Linked DNA regions of Xenopus tropicalis. The protein of the gene in region 5 purifies or fractionates together with the protein of the main gene of each other region. This does not show direct contact. Links are inferred from orthologs where the notes say so. Each region holds a gene or a part of one and is shown on either strand. Other genes may lie near its edges. The genes, in order: vamp8, snap23, vamp4, vamp3, stx6 and snap29.

Region 1 (3,500 bases), on a different chromosome or scaffold from region 5:
CAAATCTTTTTACATTTGAATGTGGCTCAGGGGTAAAAAAGGTTGGGGATCCCTGTTGTTATAGAGTGTATGACGTCTGTGGTGCTAGCGCTTCTGTGCGTCTTTGGGCCCAAAAATTCTGTGTACTAATGTTGTCATGCATTTCTCAAAGAAGTGAATTGGAGGTGGCAGAATCTTCTTCTTACCTGGTAGAGAATTTTTCATGTGCCACCAGCCTAAATGGCAGCGCTAGAATTGTTTAGTTGCAAACTATAATGATATGTTGGAGCAACAAAGTCTGCCGTGGTGGATAAAGGACAAAGAAATAAAGGCGTTCTGTTTTGATGAGGTCACAGTAAATAGCATTGGCATTAGCAATGCATTAGCATCTGAGCTATGGAAGGTTTGGTATGTGTGGCGAAGGTTTGAGGATATATCTCATGGGAAATACCGGCCATGCAGTGATCAGGAAGTCACAGCGGTTTGTGGGGTTGGATGCTCGGAGCTCTTGGCAGGGAGTTGTTACAGCACACCAAGCCAATTTAAAGGGCTGATTCACCTTAAAGTTTTATTTATACTTACATATTTAATTTGGATTGAAAAAAAAACAATGGTCCTTTAAGTTTATTGGGACTGGGGAGCGTATACACCAAAAACCAAGTTGTGTTTAAAAAAAATTCTGCGTGTTTTTTAATTTAAAAAATCTGTATTTTTTGCCAATATAAAAACAAATTTTCATTGAACTTACCCTCACTTGCTTTATAAACAGGGCAGTTTGTTTAGATCTTCCTAACTACTTTTGAGCAAACAAATCCTTCCCTTCTCTAAGCAGCAGCCTTTAAAACAGCTTATTATGCAGGGCTTTTCAGTGGGCTGGTAATTAGTTTTATCAACTCCTTTTGAAGTTCATTGGGATCAGAAAGCCTCAGGAAGTGCCAAAGTGAAGCTGGCTTCCTATTCTTGTTTTGTGCCAGAAATGGCCCCCGGGCTCCTGTCCCGTTTTAAGCAAATGCTTACTGCACATACGTGTGTTAGAATCAGTGGAGTCAGTGGAGATAGTGTGTATGCTGAGTGAGCGTTAAGCAGGCTTTAGGCCAGTCTGTAAGCATGTGTATTGGTGTCACTTCCAGGATGAAACATTTTCGCCATAGTGCTTGATGTAATTCAGAGTTCCCCTTCTCAGCATTGACATTATGTGCACATACTTTAACAAAAAAGAAAATCCCATCCACGGTCATCCAAATGTCTTAGCTTCTTTACTTCTTTCTGTTCAGCTACAGTTAAAAATCCAATCTACCGGTCACAGAACCCGGCGCCAAAAAAACTATTGCTCTGTGAGGTTAAACTAGTATTGTTATACAATTGTTATTGTTACTTTATAACTTATCATTCTGTTCTGGCCCTCTCCAATTTATTTTACGCTCTTTTATTCAAGCCACTGTCTGGTTGCTAGGGTAAATTAGGCCCTAGCAAGCAGGTAGCGGCTAAAATGCTAAAGTGGAGAGGCTGCAGAATATAAAGCTTAGTTTAATGTTAAGGGCTCTGGCACACGGGGAGATTAGTCGCCCACGACAAATCTCCTGTGTCTCGGGTGACTAATCTCCCCGAAATGCCATCCCACCGGCGAAAATGTAAATCGCCGCTGGGATGGCATACGCGGCGGCGCGATTTAATCGCGCAAGTTTCCTCTCGAGGCAACTTGCGCGATTTCACTGAAATCGTGCCGCTGCGTTTGCCATCCCACTGGCGATTTACATTTTTGCCGGTGGGATGGCAATCCGGGGAGATTAGTCGCCCGCGAACAGGGAGTTTTGTCGCGGGCGACTAATCTCCCCGTGTGCCAGAGCCCTAAAGGAGAAAGAAAGGTAAAAACTTAATCAGGATTTTTAAAGAAACCTTTATCAGAAAGGTCTACGTAAATACAGCCATATCACTTATAGTAATGCTGCTCTGAGTCCTCTATCAAAAGAAACACAGGTGGGCATATCGGGGAAAGAAACAAGCGGATCTTATGTCTGGCCAGCTTCTTGCAGGGTATCCCATTTCTGTGGAATTGTATGGCTGACCTTAACCATACATGTGCCACAGCTCTTACAGCATTATAGGGAAAACAAATTCTACTGATTATTTTTTGCCTATTAACTGTAAAAGAGTGGCAGCATGTGTGATTCTGTATCCTGGGTCTTTGCAGATTTCTGCCCCTATTTCATTATTGATTACTTTGGCAGGATATGGGAGGGGCAAATGCCCCAGCGGCCCCTGAACGCGTGAGGGATCTCCAGAGTCAGGTGGACGACGTAAAGGGAATCATGTCCCAAAATGTGGAGCGAATTCTGGCACGGGGAGAGAATCTGGATCATCTAAGGAACAAAACAGAAGACCTGGAAGCTAGCGTAAGTGCCCATAGCCATAGGCATCCCATCTAAATCCCTCTCCAGCCCCATCTTAGTTCTCCACTACCTACACTGTTATTCTGCCCATCATCCTTCTCTGTACTCGCTCTATCACTGCCTCACCTTGTTTTGTCTGTTCCTTTCACCCAGTCTGAACACTTCAAGACCACTTCCCAGAAGGTTGCCCGCAAGTACTGGTGGAAAAACGCAAAGATGATTGCCATAATCTGCGTGGTGGTTGGAATTATTGTACTCCTCATCATCCTCCTCGCCACTGGAGTCATCCCCACATAAAGATTGTCACTCGCCAACCAGGCTGCTCTGCCAATGAGGACTCATGATTACCTTTCACTTACTCCTGCCTGATGAGCTCTCCTCAAGCCAATGGAGAGAGGCCAATCAGACTTGTGTTGTTATACTTTGGATGCCTCTGATTGGCTACATTCATTTTCTCCTTATGTGTTGGCCTGTTTCAGGTCACACCTAGATCCAGTGGGGTCTGCATACCAAATGAGTGTATATTTTCTTCCTACACATAAAGGTTTGATTCTCAATATGGCAAATAAAAATATCTAGGTATATTATTTCATTCCTACTTGCAGCCCATTTCCCACTTTGTTTCCGGTGATATGTTTTTGGTTAAGTTCTTGTACTCATTGTACACCATTACCATTGTACACCATTACCGTTATGGACTAGATAAAAGTGTAATATCTACCACTTCTACACTTTCACCAATTATTTTTTTTTAAACCCATGCATGTTTTGCATTCTTGCCTTTATTCATTAGTTTAAGCCCCAAATGATACATTGCTGCCACCCAGTGTATAATCTGATATGGGAATCCTGCTCATTCACTGGTGTACACATTGTTGATCAACCCCTCTCGGCTACTTAGAGTTGCTTCTGTTTGAATTTGTTTGCAGAAATTTCTGGGAAATCTGAATTAACAGTTTATCTATAATGCCACTGTAGGGGACATGTCTCTTTTGTATATAAGGGTAGATTGTATCTAACTAGCTATAATATGCATTCTCTTATTATCAGTTGGGTTCTAGAGTCTTAATATGTTGTTATTATTACTTGCTCGTAGTAGTCATTTGAGGCTCGGTAAATTCTTTTTCCGTA
Region 2 (2,583 bases), on a different chromosome or scaffold from region 5:
AGACCTACTGTATTCATTTTAAAGATCAAATATTAATATGAAGAACATGAGGAAGATAAAATGTTGCAAAATGTAAGCCATATGGTGACCTTACAATGTTTCCAGGGCATTTCTGTGTCTTCTGCCTACAGAGATAGGCCCTTTGGAGCTTATAATTATTATTCTTTTATTTAAAAAGTGCCAACATATTTCACTGCACTTTACAGAGATTATACATCACTCACATCAGTGCCCCAGTGGAGCTAGCAGTCAACAATCCCTATTGTTTTAGCATGAAGACACATGGAGCTACTAGCAGCAGCTAGATAATGCTGATCATTTACTGATAACCGTCTGTGTGTCTTCACCCTTAACATACACTACAGCCAATTTTATCAGTAAACAATTAACCAGGAACTTACTCTGCCTGGACAGAAAAAAAAAACCTTTCCCCAGAAATCTATAAAGTGAGACAATGCTCAGGTTGGAATCAAACTTGCAATCCACCCCCCTCCCCCAATACACACAAGTAGCTGTTCATTACCTTACGTAAGATGGCCATACATGCCAAGATTCTCACCCAATGGGAATTTGAAATCAACCCAATAGGTACTAGCAAGATTTTGGTTGAGCGGCCCTCCTAAAGGCTCCGTACGCAGGCCAATAATTTGGCAACTCTATTGCTTTCAGACTTTGGGGGCATAATTCCCAGCAAACTTATATAAACTTCAAAATCTACTGTATTTAGTTGTACATTAATCCTATGAATTCCTTGAATACCTTTAAGATATGCATGTGCCTGAAGGACATCTGGGGCACTTTGCTCAGTTAAAGTTTAGATAGTAATGAGTAAATAGTCACCAATAATAAAGCATGGTTTAAAATATATTTCCCTGTAAAGTATTGGGTTCCTAGCCCAATATTGTGTTTTCTGCATAAAAAAGTGGAAAAAAAACTAAAAGAATGAGATGAGGAGAAAATAAAGAGCAGTAGGATAATAGTTAGTTTGAGACCATCTGTAATTGTTCTATTTTTGTGCTTTTTACTTTTTTCACTGTTAAAGGAACAGTTACGTAAAAACGAAAGTGTTTTAAAGGAGAAAGAAAGGTAAAAACTAAGTAAGCTTTATCAGAAAGGTCTATGTAAATACAGCTATAAGCACTCACAGAAATGCTGCACTGAGTTTTCTGTTAAAATATTAGTTGTGTCTGTTTTCCTATGCCAGAGACACATCGCTCTCTGCTCTCTCCTGCTCCCCCTCCCTCAAGAATGCTAAGAACTCATCCCCCCCCTTAGGAATATGAATCTGAGCCAATCAGCAGGAAGCTGACTCATAACTAACAGAGCATGTTCACTTGGTCTGGGCGTCTGTGCAGGGGTGAGGCATTATGGGAACTTTCTATACACAGCTCAGCATTTTTTCTTCCTGTTTGGCTTCTGATCATCTGAACGGGAGAAATATGGGGAGACTTGAGACAACTGAAGGTATGCCTGCAGCTTGAGATTAACTCTTTATTAGCCTTTCCTTCTCCTTTAAAAGGAAAATAATGGTATTTAGCTATTTTTATGTATTTTCTCTTAAGGACAAACTTTCTAATCTTATCCATTCAAGATATAATCTTAGTACCTTTACATTCCTGCATGGCCAAAATGCAGTAAGGAATACAATTTACTCTATCAAACATTGTATATTCTTTTATATATTCTCTTACCTCTTAATATACGGACCACTCTGTGCCACTCCACCCTGTTGTCCATTTGTTTGATGAGGTTGCTTTGATATCACATTTTCTGAGTCATTGTCTTTACTGCCCCAAGTCTTTTTGTAGTTTTCCCCACTCTCGAAATCCTTTGGCCTACCAAGATGTGAAGTCTGTTAGACAGGATCATTCATTGCTACTGCTATTCAGAAATTGTTAAAAAAACATGACACCAAGATACAAAAAAAAAAAAAAAAATCAGAGGTGCAATATCCCTCTGGAACCAGAAACTTGTATTCAAATAAAAATCAAATTTGAATTTAAAATACGAACCTTCCCTAACCTCCCAGATAGGTTATGTCTCTGGAGAAGGGGGAGACACCCAGAAGTTGGCAGGGGGGAGTAAGGAGACCACAAAAATCATGACAGAATCCATTTATTTATAAATTACATTGTTTACACAGCAAATAATTTACTCTACCATATAAAATGTTATTCTTGTACCAAAACGTTTTTTTTTTTTTTTAGCTGTAATATTGGTGTGTAGGTGCCATCTCAGTGCATTGTGCCTGAGTCTGAGCTTTCAGAAGGAGCCAGCGCTACACATTAGACCTGCTTCCAAGTAACCTTTTGTTTCTCCTATGTAACTGGAGTCATGAATTTGCTGAGCTGGACTTGGATTTTTGCTTTTTAGGGTTATTATACCTACCACTAGGTGGGGCATGGGTGCATTTTTAGCAGCACTATTTGATGCATTTTGAGTAGGAATGCACCAAGATTTGGGAGATTTTTTAAGATAGATTTGGATTTGGCTGAATCCATGCTCCTGGCCGCACCAGTTCCGAATCCTTAAAATCACGTGCCTTTTTGTTACATAAACACGGTAAAAACAAGTTGAAAATTA
Region 3 (4,181 bases), about 6.6 Mb from region 5:
CCCACAACATGTGATTACCTTTAAGAAAAAAACCCCAAAATTAAGGAATTGGCGCATTCTAGGGTAAACATTATGCCCATGTAATCTGGAGGTATTATTTATTACATTTGGACTTGAGAAGTTTTACAGAAATGTTATGCACTGACAAACTAGTGATTTTTTTTTCTTGCTGAAATTAAGGGCTGAGAACTTTAGTTCCCATGCACACATATACAGGTTATTTCTACATAATTTCCAATTAACTATTATAGGACAAAGAATCTGCACAGTGATGGAAACCTTTGTGCACTGGGCAGGATTGCTTAACATGCATGATATATAAGCATTTTTGGAATAACTGTCTCACCTTTTCGAAAGGGAAATACTGGCATTTATATGGTTATTTTATTGGCTGAAACAGATAATTCTCCATGGTTTAAAGGAATGTCTGATGAAGAGACCCAGCTGCCCCTAAAACCTGGTCAATAAATATAAAACAAAGAGCTGCTTTTTTCTTTCTCAACCAACTAGGTTTGAAATTAAAAATACAAGCTGCCAATAATAAACTGCCAGGGACACAAAATAATAAAGATAATAAGTCTTAAGTCTTGGCTAATATTTGGCATATAAAGAAAAAAGCAGACTAAACTGCCAGTTACATAAAAAGAAATGAAAATATTCACATATACATTTCCTTCCAGAGCTAACAACCCCCCCCCCCCCCACCCCACCCCATTACACCATGATTCTGCATTTACAAGGAAAAAGAACACAATGTAGAATTATACACAGGGGCAAGAACATAGCTGCGAGTTCAGCAAAAACCTAAAAAATAATTCTTGCATTCTACTGTTCAAAAATGTATTACCCGAGGCTCTGTCCTGTTCTGCTCTGCTCTGGAGCTGGTGCTAAGGAAAGGGGCCTATAAAAGCTATTTTTCTCTGTACTGCATTTTCGGCGCCTGAATAAGGTGCTACCGCAATTATGAACATTAAGGGCCTTAAGTTTGCCTTGAGAGGAAACTTCCGCAATTTTGGGAAATTGCGGCACCGCATATGCCATACCACCGGCGATTGACATTTAAGCCGATGGGGTGGCATATCGGGGTGATTAGTCGCCCGCGACAAGGGAGATTTGTTGCAGGCGAATAATCTCCCCGTCTGCCACGGCCCTAAAGGAGAAGGAAAGTTACAATCACTTGGGGGTGCCAAAATGTTAGGCAGCCCCCCTCCCCTCAGTGACTTCAATCGCTTACTTGAAACCCCCAGCCGGTGCTCCTGTTTGGAGAAAACTGCAGTGGCCAGGGTGTATGCGAGCGAGCGTTCCTTCTTCTTTGCACATGTGCAGTAGAGTAAAAAGCCGGCTTTAACAAAATAGCTGGCTTTTTCATTCAACTGAGCATGCTTCGGCCCCTGGATTCCGAAGAAAGAAGATAAAAGGAAAAGGAACACTCGCTCACATATACCCAAGGCCACTGCAGTTTTCTCCAAACAGGAGCACCGGCTGGGGTATCAGGTAAATGATTACAATCAATGGGGGTGCCTAACATTTTATTTATCTCCATCCCATCCAGACACACTCCAATAATTCTGAAGTATCCAGCCGGATGCTTACTATATACAGTCACAATACAAAAGCACTTATTTTTGCATGTTATTTAAGTAATCCAGTGAAGTTAAAGAGTGATTCACCTCAAGTTAACTTTTATTATGTTATAAAATGATCAATACTTGGCAACTTTTCAGCTGGTCTTCATTTGTTATTTTGTATCGTTTTTGAATTATTTGGCTTCTTCTTCTAAAGCTTCCAAATGGGGGTCACTGACCAGGTCTGATCTGGGATTCAAAATAGGCCTGGCCAATTCAAGTACACAAAAGGCCCAAACAGCCCCCACCAGCCCAATAGTGACTGTCTATGGTATCTTACAGCAGCCCCTCTGGAATTTACCAGAATCCACATATCGTCAGTCCGGGCCTGTCACTGACCCTGTCTGTCAAAAACTATTGCTCTGTGAGGCTACAATTTTATTGTCATTCTCTTCATTACTTATCTTCCTAGTTACGTTCTCTCCTGTTCATATTCCAGTCTCTAATTCAAACCACTGCCTGGTTACTAGGGTAACTAAGATCAAAGCAACCAGATAGGTGCTGAAACTCCAAACTGAAGAGTTGCTTCGCAAAAAGCAAATTAATTAAAAAACCGTAAATAATAAAAATTAAGACCAAATGCAAATATAAATCTCCACGTCATACTTAAAAGTTAATTTTAAGGTGAACAACCCCTTTAAAAGTTCTACGTGTTCCAATCTATACAAAGTTGTCATCAAGATCATCCTTATGACAGTCAATGAGACTATATATGTACCCTCTATTGTACATGATAAAGATATCAGAGGTTATGGGAGGTTTCATGACCATATAGTGGCACAACGCAGCAAGACACAAATTTTAGAACTAAGCACTGATTATCACTATCAATTTACTGGATATTCATGGCTTGAGTACTGTGTGTGTGTATAATATATATATATATTATATATATACATACATACACACACACATAGAAGATAAATTAACAAGTAAAGCAATAGGTGGCCATAAGTGTGTAGCAATTCGTATTTAGTACAGTAACACAAACACTGGGATTTGTAAAGAGGAACCACTGACAAGAAGACAATAAGACCGAGCCATCTTCCTCACCGCCTGTGACTGTCACAAGACAAACTGGCAGCTGTAATATATTCGGACGGTTCACTATTGGGGGAATCCCTCCCAACTAGAGCCGATGCGGCAGACCTGTACCTGTTCGGATGAGACTCCAGCGATGCTCAGCTCTAAGCTTATTCACTGGCTAACATGGCGCTCCAGCTGACTGTAAACCATCCATCGCTCGAAACGCGATTCACCGTCCTGTTCCCTTTAACCCTCTGAATGATCTAGAGTTCGGCGTTCTCACAATGCGCAAGCGCACTGGCACAGTGTGAAGCCAGCCTGCCAGCACCATTGTAGGACTGAAATTAATGATTTGACGTTGTTTGTATTCATTAACGCCGTACAAAATGTTTTTTTAAGTATTAATTACATCTTTTAAGATGAAATAGAGACATTAAAGAAATGTTGTCATTATTTTTAGTATTGAACAAATATTTGCTCTTTCATTTTATTTTAAATTGTCTCTTTCTTAGGCTAATATCCCATGGGGAGATTTAGTCGCTGTGATTTTTAAAAAGTGAGTCGCTTTTAACAAGTCACTTGTCTTTTCCTAACAAGCGATTACAACAATGGAGCAATTCTATTTCCCACAAATCCAAGTGTCATATTCCACAATTAGAAATTATATTCAGTGCAATGGGGAAATCGCAGCAGCTTCCATCAGTGGGTTTTACTTTCAGCGATTCCAGTAGTTTTTAATGACATTGCTTTCTTTGTAAAATCACTCAAAAAAGGGTCTCATATCGATTCAGAGCGTTAAGCGATTTGAAGTAGTATCGTCTTCGTTGTCGTGGGCAACTAATCTCCCCACAGTGCCATCCCACCCATTCTAGCCGGTGGGATGGCATTGTGGGGAGATTAGTCGCCCGCGACAACAAAGATTTGTCGCGGGGTGACTAATCTCCCCAAGTACCACTGCCCTTATACTGTAGAGTAGACATTTACATAGATAGGGTTTATTGGTCCCTTTGTAGGGCACTTACTCCTAGTGCAAGGTTATGTGTTTGCTTGTGTGTATTTATAACACCTTGGGGCACATTTACTAATCCACGAACGTCCGAAAAGCGTCCGAATGCTTTTTTTCGTAATGATCGGTATTTTGCAATTTTTTTCGTAAGTTGTCACGACTTTTTCGTAGCCGTTATGACTTTTTCGCAAATTGTCGCGACTTTTTCGTAGCGTTACGACTTGCGTGAATTGTTGCGATTTTTCGTAGCCGTTGCGCCGAGTACGAAAGTTTCGGATTCATTCAAGCTTCAGTATCGTGACTTTCCTTGGGTCGGGTTGGAGCTGCAGAGTGCCATTGAGCCCTATGGGAGACTTTCCTTGGGCCAGGTTGGAGCTGCAGAGTGCCATTGAGTCCTATGGGAGACTTTCCTTGGGCCGGGTTGGAGCTGCAGAGTGCCATTGAGCCCTATGGGAGACTTTCCTTGGGCCAGGTTGGAGCTGCAGAGTGCCATTGAGTCCTATGGGAGGCTTTCCTTGGGCCAG
Region 4 (4,220 bases), on a different chromosome or scaffold from region 5:
CCAGAGCCCTAAAGCTGGCCATACACGTGGCGATCTGACGATGTTTCATGCGAAACATTGTCAGATCCGCCACACACCGTCAGGGCTGAAACAGCAGATAAGGAGGTAGAAACAATAGGATTTCTACCTCCTTCTGCCGATTCAGCCCTGACGGCAGATTTTGGTCAGGCGCCTTCTATGGCGCCCGATCAAAATTTTCTAACCTGGCCAATCGGCGAGTCGTCCGATATCAGCAGCTTCCTGCGATATCGGTCGACTTGCCGACATGCCATACACGCACCGAATATCGTACGAAACAAGGTTTCGGTGCGTGTATGGCCAGCTTAAGGCCAAACTATAACATGAAAGGGATACAAAAAGTCAAGCCTGCACCATCCGATCGTCATCTGGACGATTTTTGGGCAGCTATTGGTTGGGGATGCCTGTCAGAGGGCCCCATACATTGACAGATAAGATGGCGAATTACTGTGAAGAACCCGAATTGGCAGCTTTAAGGTGCATGGCCACCTTTATAGAATTGCTAATATCTTTTCTACCAACCACCTGATATCTTTCCTATCCAAACTTCCCCTCCCCAAAAATCACCTACAATTCCCCTCTTCCTTCCTAGGAGGCGTGGCTAGTCCAGGCCCACCCATGGCAAACTTTGTGTGGAACCTACTGCAGAGGAGAGTGGGTGGGGGCTCTCCAGGCCATGGGACAGGACACCTGTTTACTTGGGGAAGCTGGTTATAATAATTAAATTAATTTAACCTGCAAATAGTTGCAGTCTATATACATATTTATATTGTTTTATTTCTTCCTTAACCTCAAAACATTTTAGTCCGCAGCTTGGCCAATGTTATTAAAAGAATAACTCGTCTCCTGGTCAGGTTTATATAACGGTGTTGTAAGAATTCCATATGGATTTAGTTTGTAAGCTTTATTTGACTACTGAGGTAAATGATTATTTCTGTTACTGCGCTGCAGGCTGCATAGCTATAAGTGCAATGTTCTCAGCTACCATTTATACCAAAGGGGCCCCAGGGAGGCTGTGTGCCCAGGCTGAATACTCTCTAGTTAAACTTTAGAAGCGTTCCCCTAATGTCGCAGCAAGAAACACATTAGACTGCCCGACACGCCTAGGGCCCCCCGCCGCCTCACACTATTCTGAACATAACCCTTGCGTGTGGAATTTCGCACGCCAAGCCCCCATGCCAGTTCATTGGCGGGAATATCGCAGCGGTTTCCGCCGTTCCCCGAGGGACAATTTAACAAGACAAAACCGGGAGCGGCTGTGCCACACACGTGACCTGCTGCTCAGCTGACAGCGCTGCACCTGACGTCATTGATGCTGGCCACGCCCTGAGTTGCGCTGGCCACACCTCTCCCGGCAGCGGAACTCTACGGGATTGCGGCTACACAAGGCAAAAACGCCCAGCGGAGTAAAGTCGGACCGGTGTCCTGCAGTATCTAGCCTGTCAAAATGTAAGTGTGCCAGTAGTGCTTGGGGGGGGCTGCCTTTACAAGTTGCGGGGAACGCCCTGCCCGGTATCCGCCCTTAGCCCTGCGCTACCGAGCGGGGCCTGTGAGGCGTAGAGTTTGGGCGCAGAATGTGCTATTTTGTCCGTACAAAGTTGTATTTAGTTCGGCCGAGAAGTTTGTGCATAGGCTTATAGGGGTGTTTGACAGGGGACACAAGTGCCCTATGGCTTTAAAGGGTAAATACAATTACAATAGGCGTGTAATGTTTCAGTCTGCTTTCTGAACTCCTAGCAGTGTCGGACTGGCCCACAGGGATACCGGGAGAATTCCCAGGGGCCCTCCTGCTTCTAGCCATTTGGCCTAATTCAGGGTCCTTACTTATTTTTCTATAAGGGAACAAAGCAACTAAATATATAGAAAAATAGATTATAGTCTGTAAAGATAAAGAAAAATAACTTGGAATATATAGAGATAAGAAATGGATGAAAAATAATTTGGAGGGTGGCCCCATGGTCTAAGGCAGTGATCCCCAACCAGTGGCTCAGGGGCAACATGTTGCTCCCCAACCCCTTGGGTGTTGCTCTCAGTGACCCCAAACCAGGGAGTTATGTTTGAATTCCTGACTTGGGGGCAAGTTTTGGTTGAATAAAAACAAGATTTACTACCAAATAAAGCCCCTGTAAGCTGATAGTGTGCATAGAGGCTACCTAATAACCCTTATTTGGCTCCTCCATGAACTTTATGGTGCTTGTGTTGCTCTCCAAGTCTTTTTACATTTGACTGTTGCTCACGAGTTAGAAAGGTTGGGGATCCCTGGTCTAAGGTTTTCTGGTGGGCTTTTAGCATCCCAAGTCCGACACTGACTCCTAGCATCTAATGGGATGGGAGTTGTAGTACAATAACAGCTTGTTGTTACATTACATAATATGACTTCTGTTAGAACTCAAAATAGACTTAATGGCTCGCATTTGTATTTACTGCTTCACAAGTCTTGACTCATTTTAAGAAATGGTTCTTAATGTGAATGTTCTGCTGCAGCACATTGTTGTTTTACGGAATTTATGTTGTTCAGATTGGGTGAATTTCATCAGCAGATAGGTTTCATTTCAAGTGCATTTGCTACATGTCACAGGGTAGGTTTTGACCACCATTGTATCCTGGTGGGGGTTTAAGCCCCTGAAATCACCCACGCCTGCCTCCCATAGCAACCAGAGGAAATCACCCTTGTGATGGCTGCATAGGCTGAGGATTTCTAATACATTACTATGGGAAGTGGCAACCAGCAAATTTATCAGATATTGGTCTAAGAATCATAATAAGGAACTTGTTACAGTTAGGTAATACTATTTAGGGTGAAGACACACAGAGCTACTAGTAGCAGCTACTTGTCATGGCTACTAAAAAAGGCTGCTGATCATTTACTGATAGTTATCTCTACATGTGTTAGGGCATTAGGGTATTTTCTGGAGTTTAGTAGCCTTTACAAAGTAGCTGGTACTAGTTGCCCATTGTGTCTTCACCCTTAAAGGAACAGTAACACCAAAAAATGAAAGAGCTTTAAAGTAATAAAAATATAATGCACTGTTGCCCTGCACTGGTAAAACTGGTGTGTTTGCTACAGTAACACTACTATAATTTATATAATAAGCTGCTGTGTAGCCATGGGGGCAGCCATTCAAGCTGGAAAAAAGGAGAAAAGGCACAGGTTACATAGCAGATAACAGATAAGTTTTATCTGTTATCTGCTATGTGCCTGTGCCTTTTCTCTTTTGAATGGCTGCCCCCATGGCTACATAGCAGCTTATTTATATAAATTATAGTAGACTTTCTGAAGTAAACACACAGCTTTTACCAGTGCAGGGCAGCAGCACATTATATTTTAGTTACTTTTATACAATTTCATTTTTTTGGTGTTGCTGTTCCTTTAAGTATCCAGATTATAACCCATATAGATACACTTGGTCAGTGTAGCAGATCTCTTCCAAACTGACTGAACATTAGGATGTAGCCTTTAGGTGACGTATTAACTTTTTTGTGACCCCAGTAGGTCCCTTCTTTCTCTAGAGAATTGCAGATTGCTGATAGCATAGCTCAATCCAATTGGGAACTCTTTTTTTGTGTAAGTCATTTATTTCAGATTCTTCTGATTAATATAATGTAACCGTATGTTGTTAGAGAGGAGAATGCCAGGGTTACACCCAAATTATTTACTCAGAGAAGGGCCAGCAGCAATAAAACAGCTTTAAACCCATTTTTACCAAAAAGGAGAGGAGCTGATCTGCACGTAGATCCCAGTAATTACCCTGGCACTAAGGAGAAGAGAAAGTGTAGCAGCTGCCTGTTTCACTTATGATCTACAGCTGCAGACCAGAATATTGTAATAAAATTATAATTATACACAATTTGTAGATTATAAGCTCTTTTGGGCAGGGCTCTCTTCACCTCTTGTATCAGTTATTGATTGCTTTATATGTTACTCTGTATGTCCATTGTATGAAACCCACTTATTGTACAGCGCTGCAAAATATGTTGGCGCTTTATAAATAAATGTTAATAATATACTGTAAGTTTTGCACTATGTGCACTTATTGCTCAAAGGTCTTTACCTTTGAGCAATAAGTGCAAAACTTACAGCAAAGTTTCTGGTGAATTCCATTCAGATGTTGGGGGCTAATGACTCCCCAGACACTTTTACATTTGATGTGCGTGTGTGTGGAGTTTGGGAGGCATTCTGTCTCAGAGGCTGATTATATCAG
Region 5 (3,500 bases):
GCTCCAGCTGCTCATCTTGCTGCTCCATAATCAGCTAAGAAAAAAAATGTAAATCACAAGGATATATCATGAGGCATTTACAGCCTTTATATGTGGCTTGTGGCTTTTCAAACATTGGCAAGTGTCTTATAATGGTTCCTAAGCAACAGTGCTTTGTTTAATGAAAAAATCTTTCCTGTATCTTTAGCAGCATTGGAAATGCAGACACACAGACTGAGTAATGTTGCACAGGTTGTATATCTGTGGTCTTACACTGAATCACAGTATTCCTAACAATGCTACAAACTGTCTTGGTAACATTGTTTCAGCTGCATTATACTATTAAACAGTTATGCCTTATCATAACCATAGGACTAACCAAAAGTTATCTTAAAGGAGAAGGAAAGGCTAAGTCACTTGGGGGTGCCAAAATGTTAGGCACCCCCAAGTGACTTACATGACCTACCTTGTACCCCGGGGCACCTGAAGACACCGTTTCCTCCTTCCTTTGCGCGCTGCTGGCGAAATCCGTGGGCCGGCGCATGCACAGTAGAGTGAAAAGCCGACTTTAATGTTTAAGTTCGGCTTTTCACTCTACTGCGCATGCGCGCGCAAGCGAGGAGGAAGCAGGTAGCGCCGGCAGCTGCCCCGGGCTGGTGCTGTTCTCTCCGTACGGGGGCACCAGCCCGGTGTACAAGGTAGGCGTTCTAAGTCACTTGGGGGTGCCTAACATTTTGGCACCCCCAAGTGACTTAGCCTTTCCTTCTCCTTTAAATAAAAGCAGAAGTGTATGAAACAAAATAGTCAACATCACTGAGCCGAGACTGACCTGTCATCAGTTTTTCTTTTTTTTTTTTTAAATAATAACGACAAGTTCCTATCCCTTTCTATAATAAGATAAAAGTGAGTCTTTAATTAAATAAATTACCTGCTGCTGCCCAACCTGACCATCTAAAAACTGGGAGTTTGCATTCTCGAGTTCTTGGTCCAAAGCTTTGTATTTTTCTGTTTCAAGATTCCAGCCATGCTTTGTTCCCTCCCCTAAAAGGGCCTGAAAGAGAAAGCTATATAAATGCTGTGCAAGTTTTAGCAATAGAAACATTATCACTGAAAAAATATTTTATGAGGCTTAAACAACATGTATTATTTCAGAAGGTAGAGAAGATTTAGAAAAAAAATGACAAAAAAAATAACCCTGAAAACATATATAGCATAAATACCTGTTTTCATTATTTTTGCTTTCTTTCCAATATAGCAGTTTTGTCATGCTATACTTTACTATACACTCAGCGGCAAGTCAGAGCCGGGTTCCCCTGCAAAAAAAATCTTCTGAGGGGCCCAGTGCACAGCTGTTCAGTGCAACAAACCTTTATCCCTCCTGCCCCTGTCCCCGCTCCCCTTCCGCAAAGTGCAGCTGGGGAGGGGGGATTTTTTAAAACAATTTTTAAAATTTAATCTCAAACTATAGAGGAACCAGACCCAGTGATCCGGGTCGCCCCACGACTACGGGGGCTGTCTTGTCTATAGTTACAGCAGTGGCTAGACTTCAGGGTGGTCCTAGTTCTTATCTAAAACGAACTGTTTACATCACAGCAGAATTTTGTATATGTATCAGGATTAATTAGCAAAGTAATAGAAACAACACAGTGGCGGTTTTAATATATGTTATTTGTGAACACCCTTACCTGTCTGTTCTTTTTCTCAGTCAGTGCTTGAACAGAAGGGCTTGTCATCCTATCCTTCATGTCCTGTGCAGATAAAGCATTTTCATATAGAAAGTTAAAACTGAAACCATTACTTTCATTTAAAGTATTCTTCAAGACTTCCACTCCTCCTGGACTTCAACCAGCATTGCCTAGAACAGGGATCCCAAACCTTTCTTACTCGTGAGCCACAGTCAAATGTAAAAAGACTTGGAGAGCAACAGAAGCATCACAAAAGTTCATGGAGGTGCTGAATAAGGGCTAAGATTGGCTATTAGGCAGCCTCTATGCACACTATCAGCTTACAGGAGGCTTTATTTGGTAGTAAGTCTTGTTTTTACTCAACCAAAACTTGCCATCGAGTCAGGAATTCAAAAATAACTACCTGGTTTGGGGGCACTGAGAGCAACATCCAAGGGGTTGGTGAGCAACATGTGGCTCACGAACCACTGGCCTAGAAAATGCTGATTTCAGTAAAGTATTGCCAAACATTGTATAGGAATTCCGACCGTTGTGATTATCCTTATTTATTTATTTTTTTAAAGTTTTTTCAACAAGCATTAATTACAACAAGAAGGTTAGATAAAGAGAAGAAGGAAGAAAGGAAGGAGGGGGGGGGGGGGCAACATACAGGTAGAATGCCAGACAGGGAGAAATGTTTGAGAGGATATCTTTTTTAGCATAATAAATCAGCTGCAAGGAGCACAGTTTCTCATACTGAGGTTGCCAGTTATACCCAGTAAATACCCAGTATAGTAAAGGCAATATGTTGGGAAATGCAAGTGTATGCTTATATATGCCAGTATTTCAAGCCAGAAGGTACATATGACTAGACACTCCCAAAACACATGGAACATTGAGACAACATAATTTTGCCATTTAGGACAGAGGTCCCCTGAATTATTTTGGACAGTCTCTGCGTGGCCAAGTAGTCTCTATGAATAAACTTAATTTGGAGTTTAAATCTAGTGAGTTGGGCCAATCAAGTGCCTCTTCGCACATCTCCAAATCCAGTATATTTTCTGTCCATTTATCCTTTATATATTAAGAAACACATTGCTTACTAAGATCAGTTGAGTGTAACTTCCATGCATACATACATCTACATCACAGGACAAATACACCAAAAGTTATATTTTTATTGTGCAGAAGGAAACCCAAGCACCCAGAGGATACCCACATGTGATCTGTTGTAAATAAATACAACGGTTGGGATAAAAGTGATTCAATCCAAACAGCTGAAATCAACACTACCCGCTCTTGGCATAATGCACAATTAACTAATGCTATTGAGAATCTTGCAAAACTAACAGAAAAACACAAGAACCCAGTCTAATCATACCTTGACACACTGACGAGTTTCACTGATGAAGGCTTTCCTTTGTCTCAGTTCAGCTGGATCCAGACTAAACTTTCGTGGATTGGACTCCACAATACATGAGGAAGAGTAAAGGAAAATTTTGTACCAAGAAAAGGTGATATAAAAAATTATAAAGGCTACATTCCAGACTGTTGTTGAAGCCACCTTTTCAGGTGCAACATTTGCTCAGACCCAATCTTGGTTCATAAAACCAGTAAAATATATGAAAGCAACATTGTAACCATCACTGAGCTATAATGTTAGGACAGCATATTTGCATTCTTCACAAACGTTGCCCTAACTGTCCATCAGACTGTGTTTCTTATGCAACACTATGAGCCCATCTGGTGAAGCCATCCCTAGTCTGGGATCCTCTGTTTAAATAAATGGGGCCACTTCTTGTAATGAAAAAAAAGGGTCATGCCAAAATGTAATCAGCTAAACCCATATGGAAGTAT
Region 6 (2,177 bases), on a different chromosome or scaffold from region 5:
TATAGGCTCTGAGGATCATTAACTACCAATCCTACATTTACTATTATCAGTATTACAATTGCTTTTTAAATTACTGAAATGTGTGCCTTTGCCCTAATGGGGTAACCCAGTGTCTTTTTACATAATAACACTGAAAGGATTTGTGTGGTATAAGACTGGGAGTGAAATAATAAGAGAGCTGCTCTTCAAATACCCCTTTGGCCTGTCTACAAAACCATTATGACTGCTAAAGTGATACTGACACGAAAAAAAAACTTTTTAAAATATAAATCTACATAAAAAGTTGCCTATAGGTCGTGTTGATCATTTTTTACTGATAGGGCTGCTTTTGTAAGTAATTGTTACTTGAAATCCCAAAACCTGACTGTTTTGCCAGCCTGACTGTCCCTTCTCAGCCTGTCAGTTATAGCTTCTAATGCTAACGGCCTCCTGCTGGACAAATATGGCCGCCCCCTCATAGAGGAACATGGGGGATCAGATAGGGAATGTAAAAGCTTGGACAAATACTTTTATGGCAAAATTATAAATAGCATGCAAAGACAATGTTATGACAGATGTAAAAATAATTTCATTTCTGGTGTCAGTATCTCTTAACAAATACTTCCTGTTTTGGCATATCTTTCATAAACAGTTTGGAGGATTGCGACTCTAATTACCAACCAACTAATCACATTAAGAATCTATTGGGAAAGAAATAGGCTCCCAACAGATTTTAATGACTGATTCTAGGCATCAAGGCTACCATTTATAGATGACCTGGTTAAAGCTAAATGACAAGGTGTAACCCATACACCGTATTTTTTTTTTCCATACCTACTAATATTGCTGCATTTTAAAAATAATAATACTAATCCTAAGGTTGTGTTATTCCTTTCTTCCAGATGACATGTCTTTAGGTTTGGGTCGCCTGAAAAACCTTGCACTAGGACTTCAGACAGAAATCGATGACCAGGATGAGATGCTTGGGCGCCTAACTGGCAAAGTAGATAAGATGGACTTAAACATCAAGACTACAGACAAGCGGATTCGCGAAGAGCTATAAAAGACAAATTTCAGACTTGACCAAGACCGACTCTTGAGTTTTATTCTTGTGGTTTTTATAATGTTATGCAGTTTTTTTTTTTTTTGTTTTTTTTTATACTGGGACATAAATATCCCACACATCCCTATCTGAATCTTATATCTTCTGTATAACTATACATTACATTCGTTAGCATTAAATGTAGATGATGTTTTGCAGTATTATTACTAATATAGATCCTTATTAAGATATAAAAATGAATTGTCTTACTATTGGAATTGTATTGTAGTGATTGGCAGTTTGTTATAGCTCTGGATCTGAATAAAGTATTTGAGTTCATTTGCTAGGTATTACCTTACTGCTATATGACAGAATAGACATATGAACATGCCTTTATTAAAACTGCAATATTTTACACATGCTCGTAACATAGGGTTTAATGGGCCCTGCCATATGCCACTTTCTTATTACCCTTATTATTTTAATCTAGTGTTCTGAAACTTTGTGTATAAATATGTTTATAAATTTATGTGACACTCCCGTAAACCATACTGTGAATATTTTATCAGTTTACTTGTTAAGTTAAAAAAAAAAGCCTAATAATCTTGCCTGTTATTATTTTAACTAACTTGTTTAATATATTATTTGCTTTCTGATTTTGTGCCATTTGTCTTCTTTAGACAAATTTGAGTCTGTAGACTTGTTTCTCTGCCTGACATTTCAGATAATTTATTCATACTCCCTTATACTTATTAAATGTTTTGGACATAGTAATCCTTATTTCCCCTTTTGTATTATTAGCACACTTGGGCATATTTTAAAGCTGTGTAAAATATTACATGAGCAATAACACCATGCACCCTTGTAACTATCAATTACAAAGTTGTAATCATAATCAAAACGGGGCACATGTGCTTCAGATAAAATCAGTGGTAAAGAATTTATAGCAGCTGTTGAAGGCAAATGTGCCTAGCTTTTTAGTAGCTGTACATTAACATATATACTGTATATCTTTAAGCAGTACAAGCTATGATAACATCTGAGCCTGTGTTTCACTGTCAAATGCATATATGTTTGAGGGCGTGTTTAAAAAGGCCACTTTGCATACTAGACTGAGAAGTAGCACAATAATCTTGTACAGCAGCATTTTTACCTA

Evidence for each region.
Region 1: the proteins of stx6 (region 5) and vamp8 purify together in Homo sapiens (affinity purification with mass spectrometry; 3 studies listed by BioGRID and IntAct, counting the BioPlex papers as one, with this or other methods). This does not show direct contact. The link is inferred for Xenopus tropicalis from reciprocal best matches to the Homo sapiens genes STX6 and VAMP8.
Region 2: the proteins of stx6 (region 5) and snap23 purify together in Homo sapiens (affinity purification with mass spectrometry; 3 studies listed by BioGRID and IntAct, with this or other methods). This does not show direct contact. The link is inferred for Xenopus tropicalis from reciprocal best matches to the Homo sapiens genes STX6 and SNAP23.
Region 3: the proteins of stx6 (region 5) and vamp4 purify together in Homo sapiens (co-immunoprecipitation; 5 studies listed by BioGRID and IntAct, counting the BioPlex papers as one, with this or other methods). This does not show direct contact. The link is inferred for Xenopus tropicalis from reciprocal best matches to the Homo sapiens genes STX6 and VAMP4.
Region 4: the proteins of stx6 (region 5) and vamp3 purify together in Homo sapiens (affinity purification with mass spectrometry; 5 studies listed by BioGRID and IntAct, counting the BioPlex papers as one, with this or other methods). This does not show direct contact. The link is inferred for Xenopus tropicalis from reciprocal best matches to the Homo sapiens genes STX6 and VAMP3.
Region 6: the proteins of stx6 (region 5) and snap29 purify together in Homo sapiens (co-immunoprecipitation; 3 studies listed by BioGRID and IntAct, counting the BioPlex papers as one, with this or other methods). This does not show direct contact. The link is inferred for Xenopus tropicalis from reciprocal best matches to the Homo sapiens genes STX6 and SNAP29.

What each region holds. Positions count from the first base shown.
Region 1 is NC_030679.2:125,658,574-125,662,073, forward strand, and holds the end of vamp8 (vesicle-associated membrane protein 8), read left to right. Parts: intron 1-2,207; coding exon 2,208-2,372; intron 2,373-2,522; coding exon 2,523-2,666; 3' UTR 2,667-3,085; downstream 3,086-3,500. UniProt on the Homo sapiens protein: SNAREs, soluble N-ethylmaleimide-sensitive factor-attachment protein receptors, are essential proteins for fusion of cellular membranes.
Region 2 is NC_030684.2:105,560,974-105,563,556, forward strand, and holds part of snap23 (synaptosomal-associated protein 23), read right to left. Parts: intron 1,836-2,583; coding exon 1,692-1,835; intron 1-1,691. UniProt on the Homo sapiens protein: Essential component of the high affinity receptor for the general membrane fusion machinery and an important regulator of transport vesicle docking and fusion.
Region 3 is NC_030680.2:107,501,160-107,505,340, reverse strand, and holds the start of vamp4 (vesicle-associated membrane protein 4), read right to left. Parts: upstream 2,801-4,181; 5' UTR 2,781-2,800; intron 453-2,780; exon of another isoform or gene 347-452; intron 1-346. UniProt on the Homo sapiens protein: Involved in the pathway that functions to remove an inhibitor (probably synaptotagmin-4) of calcium-triggered exocytosis during the maturation of secretory granules.
Region 4 is NC_030683.2:101,173,481-101,177,700, forward strand, and holds the start of vamp3 (vesicle-associated membrane protein 3), read left to right. Parts: upstream 1-1,420; 5' UTR 1,421-1,465; coding exon 1,466-1,467; intron 1,468-4,220. UniProt on the Homo sapiens protein: SNARE involved in vesicular transport from the late endosomes to the trans-Golgi network.
Region 5 is NC_030680.2:100,858,217-100,861,716, reverse strand, and holds part of stx6 (syntaxin-6), read right to left. Parts: intron 3,120-3,500; coding exon 3,025-3,119; intron 1,728-3,024; coding exon 1,665-1,727; intron 1,031-1,664; coding exon 908-1,030; intron 35-907; coding exon 1-34. UniProt on the Homo sapiens protein: SNARE promoting movement of transport vesicles to target membranes. Targets endosomes to the trans-Golgi network, and may therefore function in retrograde trafficking.
Region 6 is NC_030677.2:153,633,264-153,635,440, reverse strand, and holds the end of snap29 (synaptosomal-associated protein 29), read left to right. Parts: intron 1-881; coding exon 882-1,042; 3' UTR 1,043-1,677; downstream 1,678-2,177. UniProt on the Homo sapiens protein: SNAREs, soluble N-ethylmaleimide-sensitive factor-attachment protein receptors, are essential proteins for fusion of cellular membranes.